2 linked regions of the Rattus norvegicus genome follow. Each later gene encodes a partner of the first gene's protein in a complex. Links are inferred from orthologs where the notes say so. Each region holds a gene or a part of one and is shown in the gene's direction. Other genes may lie near its edges.

Region 1 (3,654 bases):
CAGTAACACAGGTAGACTATGTGTCGGATGTCAGAACAAGTGTGTTGTTTCTATAGACTGAAAGAGTGTGAGTCCTTTTTCACCCTAGCCTTGTAGATTTCCCTGTACATTAAAATTTAGATGCTTTGTGATACAGTTTTCCAAAAATATATAATCCATATAATGCACATCCTAGCAAGTTATCCCTTTGTTTGAAAGTGAAAATAAGGGGCTGGAGAGATGGTTCAGCGGTTAAGAGCACCGTCTGCTCTTCCAGAGGTCCTGAGTTCAGTTCCCAGCAACCATGTGGTGGCTCACAACCATGTGCAGGTCCTCTTCTGGCCTTCAGGCATACATGCAGGCGGAGCTCTGTAGACATACTAAATCTTAAAGGAAAAGAAAAAGAGTTGCTGTGGGCATGGTGTCTTTTCACTGCAATAGAAAGTGAAAATAATGGATGAAATCAATTTTTGCCCATACTTAGAATTCCTTAAAGTATACTTAGGTTGGTAACAAGTTTTCTTATATTTTGAAATTAGTTTAGGTTCTTTGATTTTAGCAAATTAGTCAAACTTATCAGACAAAAAAATGTCACAGTTGATGTGTGCTGACCATGTCTAAGTATTAGCGTTGGGTGTTTTAAATGAGGAGACAGTGGATGGATAAAATAGGCCCACATTTGCTGCATGAAAGGATGGCCTTGCATAATTACATTTTTAATAGTTAGAACACTAGAGGATCCTGCTGCATTGTCCTCGATACTGTTCTCCTGCTAGCAGACAAAGAAAGAGAGACAACAGAAAAGCTTCCTGTAGCTCTCTCTTGCACAGATTTTGAGTATGGTCTGCAGCTGGCTTAAAATGTTTCCATTTTCCTGGTGTTCCCTATAGAGAGGTGTTCCTGCCATGAGCCCTGATACTTTGAACCAGTTCCCTGCGGCTCCCATTCCTACCTTAAGCGGCTTTCCTATGACTCTGCCTACCCCAGTGAGCCAGCCAACAGCGATGACCTCTGGCCCCGCAGGCTCCATACCCCTCAGCCTTGGACAGCCCATCATGGGCATTAACCTTGTTGGACCAGTGGGTGGAGCTGCAGCGCCAACTTCCAGTGGCTTCATGCCAGCCTACCCCTCAAACCAGGTAAGTGGAGAAGCTTTGTGTGTGCCAGATCATTCCAGAAAGTACATGTGGGGAGCTTTCCTTCAGAGATTCAGTCTGCTGGATTATAGCAGGCACTTGATATGGAAATTAAACAATGTGGAGACAGGTGTGATTCATCTGTGAGCTCTCACCTAGGATACTCTACTCAAGATCTACATGTAACCCCACCTCTTCAAAAAATAAGATAATTTTTAAGTATTAATATAATATAAAATTGTTTGTTTTTGTTTTCAGTTATTCTTTAAATACACAAAATGTTTGTTAAGAACTAAGCAGTTGAGGAAGATACGTAGTGTCAATCTCTGTCCTTTTACACACACACACACACAGACACACACGCATATACCACACACATACATGCACACACACACGCATATACCACACACATACATGCACACACGCACACGTATGTACCACACACATGCATGCATATATGCACATGTATGTACCACACACGTACATGCACACACATGTATGTACCACACACTTAAATGCACACACATGTATGTACCACACACATACATGCACACACACATGTATATACTACACACTTACATGCGCACACACACGTATATACTACACACTTACATGCACACACATGTATATACTACACACTTACATGCACACACACATGTATGTACCACACACTTACATGCACACACACATGTATGTACCACACACTTACATGCACACACATGTATGTGCCACACACGTACATGCACACACATGTATGCACCACACACGTACATGCACACACATGTATGTACCAAACACGTACATGCACACACACGTATGTACCACACATGTACGTGCACACACATGTATGTACCACACACGTACATGCACACACACGTGTATGTACCACACACTTACATGCACACACACGTGTATGTACCACACATGTACATGCGCACACACACACACACACGTATGTACCACACATGTACATGCACACACACAGATTTAAGACCAGACATGGTAGGTAGTCCATACCTTGATTTCAGCAGGTGGAAGTCAGAAGCAGATCTCCGAGTTTGAGGTCAGCCTGGTTTACATAGAGTTCCAAGCCGGCCAGGGCTACATGGTATATCCTGTCTCAAAAAATTCACTTCTCGGATTAGCAAACCAATATTTTTAATGTACAGATATATGATGTCATATAAGAAAAAATGACTAATCCTGTAGGTTCATTGGCACAATTATTTGAAAACCTGCACCTCAGAGATGGCAGCTGAGTTAGCAGGGTTAGGAAGTCAGCAGGGCATGGCAGGATGAGCTGTCACACAGTCACATTCCTAAAGTGCAGGGCAGTGCAACATGAGCTTGTTCCATAAAGCAAATGGTCCATGAGCAGTCTGCTGCTCTGAGTGGTGACCTGGAAGCCAGTGTTCGCTCCATGTGTGTGTACAACTGGTTATGAATGCATTGACTGTTCACAAGCTTCGTGTGTCTGTAGGACTGGTTATGGGGGCTCATGCCATGACTGTTCACATACACTGCTGTCAGCAACCAGACAAATAGAGTCCAGATACTTTAAAAATGTTAGGTTAGCTATTCAAGCCAGTCCTTTCATTACATTTGTGCCAGAGAACACTTTAAAATTTGAGACAGGTTCTTGCCTCAGGCATCTCTGTTGTTGTATCTCAGCTGCGTTCTTGCCTGGAGCTGTATGTGAGCAGTGGTAGGGCTCTAGGATGTGTCTGATATGCACCAGACCCTGTGTGCATACACTAACACACACGTGATTATGAAATTAGGCAGTTGGAATTAAATTGAGCAATTGAATGATAGTCTCTGAGGTTGATGTGTGGAGAGGAGTTATTTACTTTGGCAATCTCGTTTTCCCTGTGTAAATATCCTTTGACGGGGTGGAGTTGCCTGAAAGGCCTCAATCGAGAAGATGCTTCCATAAGATCCAGCTGTAGGGCATATTTTAAATTAGTGATTGTGGGTGGTGCTGTCCCTGGGCTGGTGGTCCTGGATTCTATAAGAAAGCAGGCTGAGCAAGCCAGTAAGCAGCACTTCTCTGTGGCCTCTGCATCAGCCCCTGCCTTCACATTCCTGCCCTAAACTTGAGTTCTTGTCCTGTCTTCCTTCTGTGATAAACAGATGTGGAAGTGTAGGCCCAATAAACCCTCTCCTCTCCAAATGACTTAGTCCAGTGTTTCATCATAGCACTAGTAAGCCTAAGACAAGTTGGTACTGGAGTACAGCAGAGCATTGCGGTGACCGACCTCATCATGTTTTGGGGGAGGATTGTAGAAGGACGTGGAAACTTTGGGCCAGAAAAGCCATTGAGTGTTGAGAGCTAAATGAACGATGATGCAGAAGCTTGGGAGATGAGAATGATGAGCGTAGTGCAGACGACGGAGGCCTGGCGTGTGAAGTTTCAGAGGGAAGCAAAGACTCTACTGGGCCTTTTGTGTGAGCAGTTTATGGTTCTGGTCGGCTGGGGCTGAAGAATCAGCTGTGATTAGCAAGAGACCAGAACCACTAGAGTAAAACCGAGCTTTGC
Region 2 (3,654 bases), on another chromosome or scaffold:
TGTTTAAAAAGCATTGATAGGAACACAAATAACCTGGCTGCTTAAAGAAGTGCTGAGAAGGCCTGATAATTGGGTTCAGTGTACAGCTGCAAGGTAATCAGTCTGGGAAGTTTAAGGCTGCCATGGATGGGAGCAGTGGTCCAGGGCTCTGCCCTGGGAAACCTTTAACTCTGGGTTTGCATCAGTATGCTCTGGCTGCTGTGGAAATTTGTTTACAGTAAATTTGCCTTGGCTTTCTATTGTTACTGGGTTTCATTAAAACGTCCCCCGGCTTCAGGTACCAAGTCCTTCTTTAGTGTTCAGCTTACTACTCGTTTGTCCTTTTTTAAACTTGTTTATGGGAAAGTCATGTTTTCTTAGCTTGCTGTTAACTATCGTGTGTGTGATTTTAGGAGGTTGGCATAGAATTTGGCTGGCTACGTTAATTGTGTAATCAAGCTGTGCCTCCGTAAGGATCTGTTTAAAAAAAACTTCCATTAAAAACTCTGTAGTTTATAGTAAATAATTGCCTTGTTTCTGAAAACGTTAACTGTAATTGTCACAGATCACAGTCATTGTTGGGTTGGGGCAGTTTACAGAGGGAGGGATGTTGTGTGGGATAGAATGGTGGTTTTCTTCTGTCATTGCCAGTGCTGCTGTTCTCAGTCTCCCGTGTAGCGCTTGGCAGTCTAATACGCATACACTGTTGCCACCGCTCAGGTGCCCTTGTTCTGCATGGTACACAGATCTCACCTGCAGTGCTGTAACTAACCTTACACAGTGGGAAAGAGAAGGTTTTGGTCCATTCGCTCTTTATATAGACATCTACAATTTCATCTATTTTAACTTTGGCCTATATGCTTATTGTAGAAAAACAGAAGTTTTTAAAGGATGTCCTGAAAGTGTACATGAATGAGCTAGTAAGACCTTGGGAGTCAGCGCACACCTTCTCCCTTGTTTTGGACTCAGTACCTGGAAGCTGGTTCCTGTAATATCTGAGGCCCGTCCGCGCTCACCAGAGGATTGGTTCAGAAACGAGAGAACTCTTCATGAGTTTATTATACCTTTTGTCTAATCTCATAGGCTGTTCTTAGAAAATAAACTTGAACCAAGTACAGTCGTGCACATTTGTAGTCCCAGTTGAGGCAGGAGGATCACCTAAATCTCAGGAGGTTGAGACCAGCAGAGCAGAGCAGCATGGTAATGCCGTGTCTCAAAGAAGAAAGAAGAATTAGAAGTCGGAGAGGCTGTTAAGCCTTTTTTGTAAACTGATGCTTAACTATAGCCCCCGCTTAGCTGTCTTTCTGTTCCCCTGGCTGACTGTCCTAACTGCAGGCTTCCAGATTAAAGTCAACTACACATGTGTAACAGATCCTGTACGTCAGCAGTGCTCTGAGCCACATTCTGGAAGTATTTTACCCACGCCACCTCTTACCTAAAGAACATGCAGTCAATTTTTAGTAATAATTTGATGCTTTAAATAATTGTTCATCTCTTTAGTCATGGCTAAGATAACCAAATTACCAAATCATTTTTTATACCAGAGACTTTATATTAATCTTCAAGTCTCTGACATGGAAAAAAATACTGCAGTCTTAAAAAAAATTTTTTTATAAGATCAGAGCAAGGTTCAAAATTAGGTTCATCAGCCAGTCTAAAAATTGAGGACGTTGAGCTGGAGAGAGCGGTTAAGAGCACTGGCCTCTCCTCCAAAGGACCTGGAAGCAATTCCCAGCACCCACATAGCAGCTTCTAACCGTCTTTAATTCCCATTCCAGGGGATCCACAAGCCTTTACACAGACGTGCACGTAAAAATAAATATTTTTTTAAAACGAGAACGTTGAAGGTTGGGTGTGGTAACTCATACCTGTAATCCCGACACTCAGGGATAATTCTCCTGCCGAGGCAGGAAAATTATGAGTCGAAGCCAGCATAGGCTACAGAGCAAGACCTTGTCTTAAAATAAGATAAAATAAAAATGTTGAGAATATCATAGCACGCTCATTCTATTTATAAACCCTGTGTGTCAGAAATGAATACAAAACTGAGTGCTGGAAATTCTTGAAGTATTTGAAAGGCATCAGCTACATATAACATTTATTTCAAAACGGTATTTTTATGTATTCCTTTTATAGATACTTCAAAGCCTACCATTTAATAAAGAAAACATGAGGTTGGGTAATTGGCTCAGTGGTTAAGAGCACTGGCTGCTCTTGCAAAAGACTTGGGTTCTATTCCAAACACCTACATGGTGGTTCACAACCGTCTGTGACTCCAATTCCAGGGACTCCTACACCCCCTTCTAGCCTCCTCAGGCACTAGGCATGTATAGATATGTATACATAAATGCAGACAGACACACGTAAAATAAAAATAGACACAGAGAGCTCAGCAGGTAAAGGTGCTTGCTGCCCACGTTGGTGACCTGAGTTCAATCCCGAAACCCTGTAAGGGCGGAAGGTGAGAACTAGCTGCATGGTTATCTGCCGTCCACCCACTTGGAGCACACGTGCCCGGTGCAGAACGCTTAGCAATGACTTCTCACATGCAGAAGGGCAGCACTTGCTATGACGATGACAGTGAGTGGTGCTTATGCAGACTCACCTGGATAGAGTATTATTGCTGTCACAGCTTGCCACTTGCTATGACCCGTGAAGCTTGCCCTCACTCACTGTCATTCTGTGCTGTAAGGTGTGGATCCAGAGTTGTATGAATTAACAACTGCTAAGCTGGAGACCTCCACCTCAAGCCTCAGAGTGACTGACGCATTTGCGAAGCTCATGTCTACAGTGGAAAAGACGAGCACGTCGACCAGGTAATGAACCGCAGCTTCACCCTAACTGTTTTCTGGTTTAAATGGCCACAAGCAAAGCGCGCAAGAGGTCGTGCTTGTGTGTTAAACCGGCTTTGTACCTTAAAGCCAGTGGATGGCAAAGCTGGAAAACATCACGTGGATGTTGAACGGTGAGCTTTCTTCGGAGAGACTGACAGGTGAAGTTTTCTTCTCCCCACCCCACAGAAGATGATTCTGATTAGTATTGATGCTGATGCCTCTGGGGAACATCCCTGTCCTTTCATAATTATGGAGAAAAGCGTTTTCCAGAACCAGGCTCAGTCTTCTGGTGCCACATAAGCTCCCGTGTTCACTTTGAAGCTATGACGGAGCCCTAAGATATTTTCATCTTCAGTACATTTGCTGCTGTGCACCTGACTGAGCTGTCGCTACCAAACTTACAGAAGCCTCTAGCGACGTCATCTCCTGCCTTCAGAGCCAGAGACAGGGAATGTCTCTTGGACATTCTGCTTAGGGTTTGACACAGTTAAGTAGCCCGTGCTTTGAGCCCACATTAAGCACAGAGAAGCCAGTTCTTAGTAGAAGGCAGTTGAGACAGGACACCACTAGTGCCAGGACAGGTGCTGATTGGTAAGCTGACTTCTCTGACCCCAGTCACCGTCATCCATCTGCGCCATCAGGAGGGATGTTTATGTCACTTGCCCACTTTGGGGATTTTAGAATTTCCTGTTGAATAACAGACACCATTTAGATTTATCTTTTAAAGTTAATTCTTTCATAAGGAACATCTTTTTCTATTTTTTTAACTTAAACTTGAACAGTTGCAGTCTCTTTGGGTTGTTAAGTTTGTTTTTGAGACAGGGACTCAGTGCACAGCCCT

Evidence for each region. Proteins that work in one complex are often made in the same cells at the same time.
Region 2: Synrg (region 1) and Aftph share a complex: the UniProt entries of both Homo sapiens proteins name them as parts of the aftiphilin/p200/gamma-synergin complex. The link is inferred for Rattus norvegicus from reciprocal best matches to the Homo sapiens genes SYNRG and AFTPH.

What each region holds. Positions count from the first base shown.
Region 1 is NC_086028.1:69,374,559-69,378,212, forward strand, and holds part of Synrg (synergin gamma), read left to right. Parts: coding exon 1-11; intron 12-869; coding exon 870-1,118; intron 1,119-3,654. UniProt on the Homo sapiens protein: Plays a role in endocytosis and/or membrane trafficking at the trans-Golgi network (TGN). May act by linking the adapter protein complex AP-1 to other proteins. Component of clathrin-coated vesicles.
Region 2 is NC_086032.1:99,078,161-99,081,814, reverse strand, and holds part of Aftph (aftiphilin), read left to right. Parts: intron 1-2,671; coding exon 2,672-2,795; intron 2,796-3,654. UniProt on the Homo sapiens protein: Component of clathrin-coated vesicles.